Arabidopsis thaliana: one gene and its partner. The protein of the gene in region 1 purifies or fractionates together with the protein of each later gene. This does not show direct contact. Each region holds a gene or a part of one and is shown on either strand. Other genes may lie near its edges.

Evidence for each region.
Region 2: the proteins of MET18 (region 1) and ICU2 purify together in Arabidopsis thaliana (affinity purification with western blotting, with the first as the bait; one study listed by BioGRID). This does not show direct contact.

The regions. Positions count from the first base shown.
Region 1 is NC_003076.8:19,507,671-19,517,713, forward strand, and holds the start of MET18 (ARM repeat superfamily protein), read right to left. Parts: upstream 7,226-10,043; 5' UTR 7,105-7,225; coding exon 7,030-7,104; intron 6,959-7,029; coding exon 6,896-6,958; intron 6,805-6,895; coding exon 6,750-6,804; intron 6,672-6,749; coding exon 6,574-6,671; intron 6,477-6,573; coding exon 6,318-6,476; intron 6,219-6,317; coding exon 6,159-6,218; intron 5,966-6,158; coding exon 5,777-5,965; intron 5,679-5,776; coding exon 5,625-5,678; intron 5,169-5,624; coding exon 5,082-5,168; intron 4,982-5,081; coding exon 4,276-4,981; intron 4,128-4,275; coding exon 3,748-4,127; intron 3,620-3,747; coding exon 3,546-3,619; intron 2,982-3,545; coding exon 2,876-2,981; intron 2,777-2,875; coding exon 1,938-2,776; intron 1,561-1,937; coding exon 1,485-1,560; intron 1,414-1,484; coding exon 1,302-1,413; intron 1,082-1,301; coding exon 1,005-1,081; intron 905-1,004; coding exon 824-904; intron 746-823; coding exon 666-745; intron 574-665; and 6 more. Other genes in the region: AT5G48130 (Phototropic-responsive NPH3 family protein), read left to right, coding at 8,621-8,718, 8,817-8,886, 8,999-10,043. UniProt on the Arabidopsis thaliana protein: May select specific target apoproteins to which a Fe-S cluster produced by the cytosolic iron-sulfur (Fe-S) protein assembly (CIA) pathway is transferred.
Region 2 is NC_003076.8:26,774,553-26,781,572, reverse strand, and holds the start of ICU2 (DNA-directed DNA polymerase), read right to left. Parts: upstream 4,621-7,020; 5' UTR 4,580-4,620; coding exon 3,473-4,579; intron 3,381-3,472; coding exon 3,210-3,380; intron 3,125-3,209; coding exon 3,041-3,124; intron 2,953-3,040; coding exon 2,878-2,952; intron 2,792-2,877; coding exon 2,727-2,791; intron 2,555-2,726; coding exon 2,464-2,554; intron 2,372-2,463; coding exon 2,186-2,371; intron 1,954-2,185; coding exon 1,790-1,953; intron 1,682-1,789; coding exon 1,567-1,681; intron 1,290-1,566; coding exon 1,113-1,289; intron 1,037-1,112; coding exon 923-1,036; intron 679-922; coding exon 559-678; intron 480-558; coding exon 165-479; intron 85-164; coding exon 1-84. Other genes in the region: AT5G67090 (Subtilisin-like serine endopeptidase family protein), read left to right, coding at 5,252-7,020. UniProt on the Arabidopsis thaliana protein: Polymerase alpha in a complex with DNA primase is a replicative polymerase.

The sequences.
Region 1 (10,043 bases):
AGAAAAAAATACTTGAATTGTCCCCTTAGGTTACATACTTACATGGAACCAGAAGCGAAACGTTTGGAAACTCTTCTTTTTGTTTGGTAAAAGTACGCTTGCATGCTAAGACGTCCAAATCTTTTTTGTATAATTTACCTTAAAACTACATTCAAAATTGTCAAACTTTTTATATGATGAGAATATAATGAGAATCATTGACAAAAAAAACTGGAATTCAACTGGTCTTGAGAAATCAATGAACAAATATTACAAAGTTTTTGACAAGAATTTTAAAATCAATGATCTAATAACACCTATAATTTTGTTTGAATTTCGAAATTATTTAAAATTCGCTGACCAATAAACTCTTCTAAAGACTACTCAACTAAAGTGTAAGTGTCACTCACTGTATCACAAATGTTAGATGGTATTGGTTGGTATGCGTTAAATGTGTCACAAGACACTGATTCGCTGGCTCTCTAACAAATGTCACAAATGTAAAAAAGAATATTACTTTGAAGAAGATAACTTGGCTTCGTTAATCTCTCAATTCAACTTCAGAATATGTTACTTCCGGATGTGATTGACGCCCTGATTTTGACAATGATCAGAATTATTTCACAAGATAGTGATTAAAAGCCGCAATTACGAAAAAGATAACTGATGAGTTTTACGTTACTAACCAAGCCTGTCTGCACCTAATAGCTTCTTCTCGAACTTTCCGTTTCGGATCATCGAGTGACTTTTCTATTGCTTGTAAAACCTTGAAATAAATTCCAAAGTCATTAGACACATTTCTTACTCTACACTAAAAACATGTGGGTTAGATCTTTTAACTAACCTCTCTTCTGAAAGGATAAATCCTTCTATGCGGCAATTCCAACAACGCAACAAGACACTGAATTGATGTTTCTCTAACAACCTGCATACCATTTAACGTGGACATATTATCATTAGAAGATTCAAGAATCAATTCCGTTGGAAAAAACGAAGATGCTATAGAAAAGAAAATGATTTGTCACCATTAGATGCGGATATGATGTAAGCTTGATCAGGCATTCGATGATTATATGTGCATTATCACTGGCAGATTGTTGTCCTGCAAACAGATCAAATGGTTAATTCTCGGCAAAATTGAATATAAAATGTCTTTTTGAGGCTTATCAACTATTGCATTAACTCAACCATATACACAATCCCTATTATCAGTGGGCGCAAACGAATTTGAATCATATAAGAATTGTTTGATCTTCAACAAATGAAGCAAGATTTTATATAATGCAATAAGCTTTTGTATCCCAGCATCTAACTTTTCTTACCCTTAGTATCAGTAAGCGTTCCAGATAAAACCAGTAATAGACTGAAAAGAGTTTCTTTCTCCACAGAGTCCAAGCTTAAGACAGACAAGCCTTCCAGTATCAACGGTTGTAGCTGCACAGACCAATGTCTAATAAGAAACTGTTTAAAAAGGTACAAAAGACAAAGTCTAAATTAAGGCTCACCTTTTTGGTATTGTCCAATATGACTGTTACCGGAACATTGGATATAACATGAGCGAGAGCTACATGCAACATTGTTCTGAAAAAAAATGAAGAAACCAGTCAGCTGAGAATCAAATTTGTTGTTTGTCACAATAAACTGTAACTTGCCTATTTATGATATGTACTTGAAACTTGGAGCAACAACGAAGCCTAAACTAGTATGAGTTTATGTGGTAGCTACATCTAACCAAAATTAAACTAACAATCTTCAAGAGGTCTTCTTATTCTTCCAGAAAGGAACACTAAAACGGTTCTTGTGGGTGCAATTGCATTCTAGGGAAATGACATAGAAGGACTTAATGATGAAGACAGAGTACACACAAGAGCACCAAAGATGCTAATGACCAAACATTTTTCTATGAAAGAGTAGAACTATAAAAGAGTAACAATAAATATACTTAAAGATATATTTACCTCGATAGTGAAGTCTGGGAATTCATAATCAAAGACTCCAAAATGGGAACTATCGTAGAGAAACACCGCTGTTTATAGAGTGGTCGTATAACTGCATGGAATTTTCTGTTCAGACACACTTCCGAATCAGACATTATTATAGAGAATGCATCTGCTGCATGTTTCATGGCAGAAGGATGCAGCGCATGCCCAGAACAGTTATTGGATTTTAAACACTCTACTAGCACCAGAGCTATTTCATTAACTCTTTCATTGCCCCGCATGAGTAAACCTTTCCCAATCCATGCTAGTCCTGTGATTGCACGGGTTTGAAGGTCCAGAGAACCACAGTAACCTAAACATATCTTTGACATGGTTGTCTCACTTCCAACTATAATTTTAGCAGATCCATTAGAAGAAATCTTTTTTCCCGATGCAAAATCTGCGTGAAATATTATAGCACATGCTTCTTCCAAGGAACAATCCCTTGAGGTATTTGTTCCACCAGAACCCGAGCCCAATTTGTTAACCATTGAACCCAAAGCTTGAGCTGCTGGGATATAACCCTTAAGAAGTGTTACCAAAAGCAGATGTATAAGTGATTTCGCATCTGGAATGGATGCTGAGGGGGACGCAGCTATGATAACTGATGCAAATAGTGAAAGTATCAATTCATCCCTAGAGGACAAGTCACGCTGTAGACCCTCTAATGCAACAAAGGTCAAAGGAATAGACTCCATAGCTGGAAGCGTACAAGATGATACCACACTATAAGCTTTTTGGATTATACTGTTCTGTGAATCTACCAAAGCAATTCCTACAACTTGCCTCATCGTTGTCATCGCTGCCTCAACAAACTCCTGTTATAGAAGAGCAAATAAATTCATGACATCAAAAATAAATAAACCAAATCGAGTTCGAAGAGAAACAAAGAGTCTAAAGTTCATCTGAGCACTTACCCTACCATTAAAATCACAACTGAAAACTCCACAAAATTCAATTTGTTTCCACATACTGATAGCGAAATGCACCAAGAGTTGCTCGAGACCATCTATCTCAGCCACACTAATTGAGATCAGAACAAAATTCCACGAGTCAAAAGGACATGCAAAAGAGGAACGAAGAATATTGTTCTTGGCAGAGAGAAGGCATAGAGAAAAAGAATCTCCAATCAGATAAAAAACAGTGGAGCCATACACATGGATGCACCACAAATGTTTTTAAGTTTTCATCTTTGGAACGATAAAATTTGTAAATGAAGGAAAAAGACACAAAGAGGTCTCTATTTTGTAAAGGAATAATAGAAAAGACACTCGTGCTATTGCATTGCTTGTTGGTTTCCATGTGCTTATTATAACTCTCTGTTAGGTGAATGTGCCATCTATAGTTGTTTTCTATGTCTATTATAAAATCTTGACGGATTCTACCGAGTTACAAGGGGTTGACTAAGGGGAATAACACAATGAACCTGAACAGAGAGAACCTAAATACGCTACCAAAGTATGGCAGTTAACAAGTTGTATCATCCAGAATAGTTGGCTGTTTACGAACAACTAAAAGTCTAGATACTCACGCTGGCAAAGCTAGTTTATCTATGAGATAAAATAAATTCAAGAAAAGTTTGGGTACCGTGGAAGCAATTTGTTGGTCAAACACTTCAGGAGCTGAGAGCAATTGTCAATTGACTCGAAGTTTCCATTGACCTGACAAGTGGTTTCCAAATAGAAGTTAGATACAAGGAAGCTCTCGATCTGTTGCTTGTTGGAGATAGAAACTGTTAGATCAAATATAAGTGAAAACTTTATGGTCTAGTCACGGGGGTAACACATACATAGAAATCAGACAAACTGGAACAAAAAGCTTCTTCCAATCCTTGAACCATTTTCTCCACATACTTTGGTCCAGTGGAGCAAACTTCTGAAGTTGCTTCTAATATCATCTGATATGGAAGACCACAATGACTAGAACAGGCCAATGAGACCAAATTGTCGACAACTATACTCATGTAGCTCATAGCCTTGTCACTCTCATGATACCGATCAATAAATGAGCCGATACAGACCAGTGCCTTCAATGCCAATTCCCACACCACTGTTTTGCCACTCTTGGCTGTAATGATTGATGTTAATGTCACCAAAATATTCTCGAATTCGGTTCTCGATACAGGAGAAGAGCCGCCCCGAAACATACCCATAGTCAGCAAACCCTTAACTGTATTCATTAACAAAATAAATCATTTAGATAATAGGAATAAGAACATGGTAACCTAGAAAAAATTGTAGACCGAGTTCAGTATTAAGAAAAGACGGCAAGAACCACAAGATGGTGATATATCTATTAAGTAACCACAAGCATTCACCTCCAAGATATACATCCACAACAGAATCATCATTCGAGCGGCATACTGCAGAAGTGAACACCTGGATCAATGGAACTGAGAAGCTTTTCACCATAGAGCACCCTGAGTTTGCACATCCAGATGTTGGAGAACATTCCTCGAAACCCAGAATAAGATCTTTTGATGCTGCAAGAAGTTCAATGCATAGATGAAGACCTCCATGGTAGAGTCTGGTAGAGACTGTAGAGTTTCCGTTTTGAACAACATCGCCAGTAGAAGTTTTCTCTACAATCCCTAGAGTATTCATAAGGCGGAAAAATATGGCTTCAAAGATTATATTGCATGACTGAACCGAAGCTTTGGCAGAAACAGACAGTATCTGACTGATAACAAGAACCTCCAGTTTGCTTGGGTCAGGCATTTCTTTATACTGAGGGTATCTATAGATGGTATCAAAGACTGTGTTTATGCGTGTATCATCAACTACAAAACCTAAAAACGAGATATCTTGCTTAACAAGCCTCTGAAGAAGACTAACAGCATCTCTGTGGATCTCATTCATTTCAAACCCTGGACTAGTGAGGGATTCTATAGCAAATGACAAATGTGTCCCAGTAGAGGAATAAAATGTATCTTTCAAAGCAGACCAAAGAGCTCCATAGTGCTTCTTCATTCTGTCTACTCCATATTTCAAAGCGCAATCTTTCAGACATTTCAAAGAATCAACCTATACAGGTTTGAGTGGAACAAAAATAACTACACTTGTCCAACATCCGGAGTGGCATATAATCTAGATGTATTAACAGAAAACTACATGTTAAACGCACCTTTGCGACTGGTAGAGAAGAAGAAAGCTTTTCAAGAAGCAACGGAATAGCATACGGTTCAAAGAAAGGTGTCGAAGAGATCGCCAGCTGCAAATTGAATAAAGTACATCAGTGAATAAATTTAACCTAATGTTATACATTTATATATATATAAACAGGATTTATCATAATTCTCCCATTTTTAACCTAATACCATTTCAGCCATGCTTGAAACTGCAAGCCATACTTAGATGTAGAAAACAAAAATTAGTATTTCCATCTTCAAGGCATCTGTGCCCTCAGAAGCAGAGAAGCATATAAATTACCAGAGACAGGACAAGTCACTGTACTTTGCCTAACAGCTTTCAAAGAATGGACATGATATGCGAAATAGCTTTTCAGTCTAATCTTCATACCATTTTCTAAGGGTCTAAAACATTTTATTTTTAAGGAACTCCAAACCAGAATGATCAACTGATATTTAACCTTGAGAAACTAAGCCATTGAGCCACAATAAGCCAGCAAGAACTTTATGCAAATCATGAATTATGACACAATACTCACCAGTAGTCCCCTTGAGAGATCCTCTCTTCTAATATTAGCTTCGTCATCTTTTGTCTAATTAACCCAAAAAAAGAGCACACTAAACAGTTTAGTGAAAGAAAGAGAAACCCATCTATATAGCACATCATAAAAAGGATAGGCTTTAAACTCACATGCGTAAAATGAAGTGGGAAGTAGCAACCAATAACTTCAAAAAGATCAGATGCATCAGAAGCGAGTGGACCAGAAGGACTGGGGAACAAAGGAGCCAAAAGCTCTACTAGATGAAAAACTATCATTAAGCATTGAGGATCTTTTTCTCCGTCGATGGCTTCACACATAGCATAAACAAGTAGATCACCCTAGGAAATGGCCGTTTAGTCAATAGGATTACAAGAAAGTGAGGAAAGGTCCCGAGTAGTATTACAAATTTGGATACATATAAATAATTATTTGTCTTCCTACAAAGCTGACTCAAATAGATTTCCAAGAAAACATTCCTCACACAGTAGATCGAATGTTTAATTCTGAACTAAGTAGAGAGCATTAGCATACCATAGTCAAAATAGCTTCAGAATGTTGTTGTAAAAGGCACTCCAGAAGTTCAAAAGCGAGCTGCAAAGTCATTTAGCAGAAGATAATGAAAAAACCATCCAGCGTAGAACACAATCATTCAGATTAGATAACAGAATACTACAAATAACCGCTTCATACTTTGCGCTCATGCAGTGCTAAAGCTTGCACTTGCACATTCTGTATCATTGACTTCGCCATAGCTTGTACATCGATATCAGTAACCACACCAGCTACATCTTTCCTCTTCAGTAGAGCCAAACAACCAACAAGCGCCCCGCACATCGCTCTCCAATCTGCCTGATTCAAGTACAACAATCGTTTCACTTCTATGTTAAAACAATTGAATAGACACATTGGAATCGAGTATAATCAAACTTAAGAAGTATCAAATTACCAGCTTTTCGGAAAAGAATCCAACGAGCGTATGAACTATTGTATCGTTCAACGGCTTTGCTTTCAAACAATCGAGAATCTCCGCAAGCAGGAGAATACCTATAGTTATGAACACACCAATGTCCAATTGCGTTCAAATTGATAAGCTCATTAAACTAAGCTAGTGAATCGAAATACCTCGTGCTCGAACGAGGTTATCGGTTGTTGTCAAATACATCTCCATCTCTCTAACCTAAACATTAGCAATACAGAAATAAGCCAACAACACAAATAAAGCCTACGGAAGAATATTCAGAAGTTGTCAAGTGAGTGGAAATTGTTACCAATTGGGTAATAGATAAAGAATCATTCTCCAAAGAAGAAGCAATTGCTTTAAGACTATCATCCTGAAAACAAAATTAAACTTGGTGAATCAATGAAACTGTTGTTCTAAGTCTCAAAATTGATCAAAAGGTACCTGTTGAGAAGAGGAACGATTAGTGTCAACAAAAGTTTCGAGATGTTGAACGAGCTGATTCGGTTCTACCATCATCGCTACAAAAAGGGTTTTTAGGGTTTTTGATTTCTGAGGAGAGAGAGCTTCGCGAGCTCCGACGAAAAGAGGAAGAGAGGACAAAAAAAGAGCCGCCAAAGGAAGTGAAGGAGGAGGAAAACGAAGTGGTATTTTTGTAATTTAGATGAAAAATTATCGATATAACGTGGCGGATGTACATTGGTCGCTGAGTGTAAATATAGGCTCGCTTTGTTTTTGTTTTTACTTTTGGGCTTCTGATTATTTGGGCTGTTAGGCAATTTCCATGTTGTTGGGCCTGATCCCAAGAAATTAGAAATAGTACTTCGCTGGTTTTGGTATGAATTGCAGGAACTTTGTGCTGATGAATAGCATAAACCAAGTTTTAAGAATTAAGAGTGATTTTTTTTTTGTCAAAAAAAAAAAGAATAAAGAGTGATCAATTTTTTTTAAGGGAATTAACCGAATTTAGTCGTTTACGTGTTTTATTTATTTACGTATTGATTCTTTATGTCCTTTAGAGTTCAAATTTAAAGCTAACCGTTTAGGGCGTTTTCTAGAATTTGTAATGTTTCATATTGTTTTTGTTGGCATTTCTTTATCTATGTGGTTTAATAGAGTACACTTTAAATAACTTAAAGATAGCATAGAATACTAAAAATATTGCTGTCATTTTTACCAAAAAATCTATGTTAGCCTTTTTTTTTTTTGTCGACAAATCTATGTTAGTCTAGTAAATCCATTTAAATCTATGTTACATGTGTGTCAATATAAGTAATTCTCTAATAATTTCCTACTTTAGCCTCCTTTTCCCTGTTTTCTATGAGCGAATTCTTCCTAAGTAAGCAATACAGTACTTCGATTTCCTCTCTTGATTTTCTCGTAATGTACGATGGTTGCAAAAATATATATTTATATTCGTAGAAATACTCAAATCACTATTAATTAACGTATATTACATAACTCGAAGACCAGATCGTAACATCATAAATAAGCGTCACCAAAATGTCTGGTTAGAACTATTTAGAGTCTTGTTACAGTTAATGCATGAAAAAGAAAGAAAGTGTTGGAGTAAAAAACAAAAATGTTGTTGAAAAAAGCGAAGAAAAAATGTTATAATACAAGATTTTTCAACTCTTCTCAACACTCGAGGAACGTCGTCTTCAACTTCTTGCCTTGAATTTTGAGATCTTCTTTTTGAGCTCAACACTCGTGCGCATCTGACTTTGACCCAACATCTACTACGCATATATGTGTGTGTGCCTGCATGCAAGTAGCCATATTATAGTTTAATGTTTGATAAAAACGAAAACCAAAAGAAACTTTCTTTTTCTCAAATCTTCCTTAGCGTCCTCTTGTTTCGTGGATCCTAGAACCCTTTTTCTTCCTCTTCAATCCCCAAAACACGCAACTTTCTTCTTCAAAAATATAATAGTGAAGAAGAATAAATGAACGACCAAATGTCTCCAGTTTCATCATACCATATTGGTTTTGATATACTTTATCTACTTAGTTTTCACAATTTATATACTCAATAATGGAAACTTTCAGCCTCAAGGATTGTTCGTCCGTCGCCTCCAGCCCGATTTCTTCTCCAAATATCAGTACCCTTTTGAAAATCAAAGTTCTTTCTTGGTATGAATCTCAAGACTATCTTCGTGATGTCATATAACAAATCTGAATTATTCATGTTGTAGACTTATGTAATGTAACTGTGTGTGTGTGTGTCACAGGAGTAAAGAGACCGGTCTACCCGCGTCAGTACATGTTCGAGTTTGCAACAAGAGTTTTAACCTTCACAAGGTAATAATGATAATCAAATCTCTCTCTCAAGAAATTCTGTTTTCAACCAATACATGTAGCTTAGTGGTTTTTGTTAATATAATGCCTTACTTTTTTTGTTTATCTTTTGTAGAGTCTCTTGTGTGCAAAGAGCGGATATTTTAAGGAAAGAGAGGATCAGCTATCGGAGATCGAGATACCACAAGAGTTTCCTGGTGGAGCAGAGACCTTTGAGAAGATTATGCTTTTCATTTATGGCTGTCCAACTTTAATACATCCTTTCAACATCGCTGGACTACGATGTGCAGCTCAATTTCTTGAAATGACAGAGCAACATTCGACGGGTAACCTCTGCGAGAGATTTGACCTTTATCTAAACCAAGTTGTCTTGCAAAACTGGGATGACACGTTAGTTGTTCTGAAGAAATGTCAGGATCTAGTGCCTTGGTCTGAAGATCTACTCATCGTGAGCCGGTGCATTGAGTCTCTGGCTTTCACGGCTTGTATGGAGATTCTCGATCCCGAAAGACGAAGAGAAAAGCCAGTCATCATGCTTGAAGGTATGGTGAATCAACCATGGGAATATACAAACATAGAGAGAATAATAAACCAAGATACTTGGATCAAAGACCTCACGGATCTTCCATTCGAATTCTTCAAAAAGATTATTGGGTCGCTTAGAAGACAAGGTATGAAAGAAAGATATGTAAGTCCATTGGTCGCCCTTTACGCCAGTAAATCTGTAATACCTGAAGGTCAAACTAATACTGATATTCTGCAAAGAGCTCTAGATCTGCTTCTTACAAGAGACAAGGCATATAGGTTTGTTCCAGTTGGGTTTTATTTTGCGTGTCTTGCACACAATTTGAAGCATGACACTGTGTTAAAGCTGCAAGATCAGATTGTATCTCTTCTTCACACTGCCCAACCCGAAAACTTTATATACCCGAAAGCCGGGAACAGGCAAGTTGCTTTCAGTCAGGAGTTGCTTACAATGGAAAGCCTGTTTTCAGTATATGTATCAACAGAATCGGAACGCCATCTTACTTCCTCCTCAAGCAACGTGAGAGTTGGAAAACTGTGGGATATTTTTCTCTCTCGTTTACCGTATGATCAAGAGATGAAAACTACAAGGTTCATTGAGCTGATTGAGACAGTCCCAATGTCATTCAGAGAGA
Region 2 (7,020 bases), 7.3 Mb from region 1:
AAGAATTCCAGGTGTCTGACTCGAAGGTAAACGAGGAACTCCATCTTCTGATCGTGGTATAGTCGTAAAACAGATATTGTATTCCTGAAAATATCATGACTGTTAACTACCAAGCAGGCGGAAACATCCACCAAAGGCTTGAGAAATAGAAACAATCTGCTAACCTGTATAATAGAAGGGTAAAGACTATTGAAATCCAGAAGCAAGACATATTTGTCATATAAGCCTCTCTTTGGCTCCAAGACCAGTCCACCAGCGTAGGCTGGACCTTTTTTTGTTTTGCTGCCCTTAGACGGATCATTCTCCAAAGTCAGGTCAGCATCCAATTCATCTACATTGCGGTCTTCTGGAGCATAATCCATTCTTCTTTTTGATGACTTTATTTCCTTCATACGTTGTGAAATTTTGTCAGGGAGAATGAACTTTTTCGAGTGGAATGTATGTAGTAAGTAGTATTCGATTCTCTGTGCCCTGGCTCCCTGGTCATGAACAAAAAATGCATGAGTCAGCACAGTAACACATATTTTCCCGGATGGGAGGGAGAGGGAGAGTCATTACTTGAAGTGTTTTCCCCCAAAGATTGCCACTTATGTTAGTAAGCTGGAGAGTGAGAGGAAGAACACTTAGATGAAACATGAGCTCCATGGATAACCATGCATCCGTCTCACCACATTCAATCTGAAAGAAAAGAAAATCAAAGGGTTATAACAAGCGAGCAATTAAGATGCAGTCATCACTCATCAACCTTAAGTGACTGCTGTTATCTGCAATCCCTTTACTTCTATGTATGACTGGATTATTTATTCTTCAATAGTTTGCACTAAATTGTTTCGCATGCAAGGATTCATAACCTATCGTCCCTAATGTGGTAGTACCAACTCATACATAAAACAGACATGACCGGGCTCATCGAAGAACTTACAAGTTCCACAAGTGTTTTGGATGACTGAAACATTTTGGGAATATCATTAGGCGCTATCTCTTTCCTGTCCCGGTTCAGCTGTGTCTTTGAGAGGTCCGTTAAAGAATAACTGACCTGCAAGAAACAGATGCTTATACATGAGGGACTGAGCTTCAACTTACTGCTTACAAGACCTGCAAGGGTATCATACCTCCTTCAACAAGTCACGAGAACACAGATCTGTATCACACAAGAGCCTTCCAGCAATACAAGACATGAGCCCTGGTGTAGCTCCTGACCCATAATTACTGTTTCCTTTAAGCTTAGGCATAAAAGAGCGTTTGAGTCGGCCAATTTTGGACCACATGCTACTCTGAACTTTGCAAGCCTGCACAATAGTAATCATTCAGTTTAAAGAACAAGACAGACATGTATATATCTCTATTACATGATCATCACAACAGGAGAGACTGGAAAAGGGACTAATGATGTACAATGCATGAAATAAAAACTTGCTGGCTTATTACGTTAAATATCATCTAATAGGCCTGGAAAGACAAGATCTTACAAAACTAATATGAAGCATATCATAGAAAGATAAGAAAATAAAATAAAATGAAAGACACAACCATTTTTCTTAATGGTAAAAAGAGATTTTGCTTTACCTGGGCCCTTTGAAGAAGAACATCCAGATCAAAACCTGAAATATTATGTCCCACAAGAATATCACTGTCCAATTTGTTTAACTCCAAAAACAATCGGTTCAGCAATGCTCTTTCACTGCAGTAAGAAAAGGAACAAAATATTGGACGAAGCCAACATGAATTGCCAAAGATATATGTGAAGGATCACAAACACAGCCTATTCAGTAACAGAGCTGCAACACACCTGTTTTCAATACTTAATACATTGCAGCCGTTCTTTGAATTTCTGTCAGACACTTCTTTTTTCCAACCAATTGGGTAACCGGTTCCTTCAGGATTCCTAACAACAGTGAAATGACTCAGAATACCAGATCTCTTTCTTTCTGGAGCTGGCATTGGAACATCAATCTGAAAGATCAAGGAGCACGCACATCATATGTCAAGCTACTAATGTAGACAGAAAGAGTGTCTTTTGAGCAAGAAACAATCGTCCAAAATGAGCGTTAATATAAAACCACATGGTACGAAAACCTACTGGTGATTGGTAATGCCATGATCATACATCCGTATTCTTCACAAAGACAACAACAACAACAACAAAAAAGGCTAAGAAGCATTGGTTAAATGTTGTAGAACAAACCTTGGCGTTGTGAAAGCAGAGAACAGATGCAGAAACAATTTCGCTTATGTTCTGCTTTTCATTGACTATAGTCTTTAAATTTATGGCTGTAACAACAGCAGGAGGGTGAACCACCTTTTCCTCTGAAACTAAAATAGTGATATCCTTGGGAGATTGAACAGTAACCTCAAACTTGCACCAACTCACCTGCACAAGTGGCAAGTCCTCTCATTAGCGGAGATAAACAGAACTAGAAAAATCACTGATTATATGATTATGGCACAGATTTAAGGTCTTACTCCTTCCGAAGGAGAGCAAGTAGAGAAGCTTGAAATTTTGAGCCAACAAGGTCCCATGATCTTCCTCTTAAGGATAAAATGCTCCAAAGCACTGCATATGAATTAACTTTGATAAGGATGAAAAAATTGCACCGTGCTAAATTGACATAGCCAGCATACATAGTTAACTAAGAAGCTTACAGAAGACCAGAAAATACAAACTTAACAAACCAACTACCAAACACATGGAAAGGTAATGAAACTCAGCAGTAAGAAGCTAGAACCTGGTATGAGACCCGAGCAAAGCGGAGAAAGACTCGCCTTTAAGATCTTCTGGAAGTGGACGATCCTGTTATAAAAGAGGAAACTTGTCATATTGTTGAGATGTAAGAAAACAGACGATTTTTAGTTTTATTTTGAACAGCTGAAATGTACCTTAAATGAATAATTTATCTTCAAAACATATTGTTCGCCAGCAGGCACATCAGGCCTCTCAAAAGCATAGTTTCTCTGATATTCGTACATAAAGAGCAGAATAGAGAGTCAAAAGAAAAGTATTGCTGCTAGAATACATGAAAAAGAAGTCAAATATCCAAACCTTGACAGGCGCCATGCTAAAATTTGAAACATTGAGCTGTAACAATTCCTGAGCAATTTCGTTTTTCAGTTTTGATGCCATTTCCTGAGAAGACACAGCCAAAAACAATGAACAACAGAGGAAAATAGATTGCTTCCTCTTAGCATGTAACAAAGGTAGTCAAACTCACATGCAATTTCCCACGGAAGGATTCAGGAGAAAGTCGAGAGTCTTTCACCTCTTGCTCGAGCATGATTAGTTCATGGGAAGGAAATATGGAATCATTTGGAATAGCATAAACACACCTCTGGATATTCTTAACTACCACACAGCAACTCTTGTAAGTATCTCCCATTTTAACCTGAATTGTTAAAAAAAGAGAGACCGAATTCATTCTCTAGATTAAGGCCAAAAGAACAACTTTAAAAATGAATGAAAAATCTAGAGATTCACCTTCCCAAACAGATATATTGTGCCCATGCTCGCACCAAAAGCCTCCTCATAAGCGTCAAGAATGAAGAAACGAAGTGATCCGTCAGCATCCAAATCAAATTCCGTTTTCCCTTCAGAACTAGAACCAAGCAAAGCCCCATTCTCAGTTCCAACTTTTCCCATCGCTTCCTTCCAACCAGCAGTGGCACTTAAAGCCGAATCCTTCTCTTTCATATCAATCGTTGCATTCAATGTAAATACCTCCTTGACACCTAACTCACTCTTCACTTCAGTTTTCCTTATCTTGTTTGATCCATCCTCTTTGACAATATCACTTCCAAGTAATTCCATAGTCTCAGAAGGAATGACTTCAGATTCTTTCATATCTTCCTCTTTCATCAATTCATTATCCATGGAAACAGAATCACCCTCATAAGTTGAAGGTGTTGGTTCAGACTCTTTCATTCCCATACTCGAGGCAACAGAAAACAGTTTTTTATTCTTGAAGATGGTAACTGGAACAGTACCTGGTAGTTTTCTCCTCGTATGCTTTTTTCTATCCGACTCATCTGGAGTAACCTGAGCTATTATCTCGTCAAGAATACCCTCATACTGTGCCTTATCAGTCTCCTTAACTTTCTTGAAACTCGAAGATGTGAACATAGACGAAAGTCTACCTTCACCAGTGATAGTAGCCGCAGCTTTTAACGCCGGATTCACCTTCTTAACCTGAGGTTGCTGCGTTTGCTCTTTCCCTTTCTTCTTCTTCTTAAGTCTCCCACTAAACCTACCACCGTCGTCTGATTCATCAGTCGATTCTGGTCCACTTGGCTTCGACCAATCCTCCTCCTCACCTTCGTCGAGATATCCCAAATCGCCACCTTCCCCATCTTCAACTACAAACCCGCGAGCCTCCTCGCGCCGCCGGGAAACAAGTGCGTCGTACTCTTCGTCATCAACGGTATCGAAGATTGGCTTCTGCAGCCTAATATCGTACCCACCACCTGACGCAGAACGGATTCCTCCTTGTCGAATCGCCTTCAGACGCTCGAGTGTGTCTTTCCTACTCGACGCCTCCGCGCCTCGGCTACGTCTTCGTCCAGTTTCCGTTGAATTATCGCCGGACATTTTTACAAATCCGGTCAATTTGGTGGTTTGGTGAAGCTGAGTAACTGATTTAGGTTTAAGAACCCAGATTAAGAAATGGAGATGGCGGGAAAATCGACACGATTTTGGCGCTATCCATTTGCCAAATCCGAATCCAACAAACAAACGGGTTCTCTTAATGGGCCTTACTCCTCTTTAATAAAGCCCAAAAACAAAAACAAAAAAGAAGCAATTATGAGACATCTATTTGAACGAGATCAAGCATCAGAGAGTTGTAGGAGCTACCTCGGTCTGTGAAGTAATTGCTGATGGAGTCCACCAAGTGTAGAATCTAGCTAAATACAGTAAAAGAATCAAAGTTTCAGCCTGAGTTCTAAGTTACTGATATTTACCGATTCGAAAGTCTAAACTATTGCTGAAACTACTAATAAGTTCATATCCAAAATCATTGTTCTCTATGATAAAGCCCAATTGAAAGAGAAAAGAAAAAAAAACAATGATGAGAGATGATGTGTTGCCGACCACCTAAAACCACTTTAACAAAAGCAAAAGCCAAGTAAAGGTTACATTCTCTGCAACTTTTTTGTCATAATAAAAACTAAACATCTATTAACAACAACACTATAATTGTTTCTTACTAACACCAAAATTCATTTCACTTTGAAGAGACCAGAGAAAAAAACTTGCTCAGACATGGGGATGACCGTCGTAATTATTCTGGTGTTCTCATTTTTCGTAGCGATTGTAACGGCGGAGACCTCTCCTTACATCATCCACATGGACTTATCCGCTAAACCGTTGCCATTTTCCGATCATCGGAGCTGGTTTTCCACAACTCTTACTTCAGTTATAACCAATAGAAAACCAAAGATTATCTACGCTTATACCGATTCGGTTCACGGGTTTAGCGCGGTTCTCACCAACTCTGAGCTCCAACGTCTTAAACACAAACCCGGGTATGTCTCGTTCACCAAAGATTTACCGGTTAAGCTTCATACCACTTTCTCTCCAAAGTTTATCGGTTTAAATTCGACATCCGGTACATGGCCGGTCTCGAATTATGGAGCTGGTATAGTAATCGGTATTATAGATACCGGAATTTGGCCCGATAGTCCCAGCTTTCACGACGATGGGGTTGGTTCGGTTCCGTCTAAATGGAAAGGAGCATGTGAATTCAATTCTTCTTCCTTGTGCAACAAGAAACTAATCGGTGCTAAGGTATTCAACAAGGGTTTGTTCGCCAACAACCCTGATTTGAGAGAAACCAAGATTGGCCAATACTCTTCACCGTACGATACAATCGGACACGGCACTCATGTTGCAGCCATTGCAGCTGGGAATCATGTTAAGAACGCGTCTTACTTCTCTTACGCCCAAGGAACCGCCTCAGGAATCGCACCACACGCGCATCTAGCAATCTACAAAGCCGCGTGGGAAGAAGGGATTTACTCATCAGATGTAATCGCAGCGATTGATCAAGCGATTCGAGATGGAGTCCATGTGATATCTCTGTCGCTAGGATTGAGTTTTGAGGATGATGACGACAATGATGGTTTCGGTCTAGAAAATGATCCAATCGCAGTCGCATCTTTTGCAGCGATTCAAAAAGGCGTTTTCGTGGTTACTTCCGGCGGTAACGACGGGCCATATTACTGGAGTTTGATTAACGGAGCGCCGTGGATTATGACGGTTGGAGCGGGAACAATTGGTAGGCAATTTCAAGGAACCCTAACGTTTGGAAACAGAGTTAGTTTCAGTTTTCCATCTCTGTTTCCTGGAGAGTTCCCTTCGGTTCAGTTTCCAGTAACTTACATCGAATCTGGCAGCGTTGAAAACAAGACTCTCGCAAACAGAATTGTTGTCTGTAACGAAAACATAAACATCGGTAGCAAACTTCATCAAATCAGATCCACCGGAGCTGCAGCAGTAGTTTTAATAACAGATAAGTTACTTGAGGAGCAAGACACAATAAAATTCCAGTTTCCAGTAGCATTCATCGGCTCAAAACACCGAGAAACTATTGAAAGCTACGCATCAAGCAACAAAAACAACGCGACCGCAAAGCTGGAGTTTCGTAAAACGGTAATCGGGACAAAACCAGCGCCAGAAGTTGGCACATACAGCTCAAGGGGTCCATTCACAAGCTTCCCTCAAATCCTGAAACCAGACATTCTAGCTCCTGGGACACTTATACTCTCTGCTTGGCCGTCGGTTGAGCAAATCACCGGAACTCGAGCACTACCGTTATTCAGCGGATTCAATCTCTTAACCGGGACATCAATGGCTGCACCTCATGTAGCTGGAGTCGCTGCGCTTATAAAGCAAGTCCATCCAAATTGGAGTCCATCGGCTATAAAATCTGCAATTATGACAACGGCTTTGACTTTAGACAACCCATTAGCCGTTGGAGCAGGGCATGTGAGTACGAACAAAGTCTTAAACCCTGGCCTAATCTATGATAC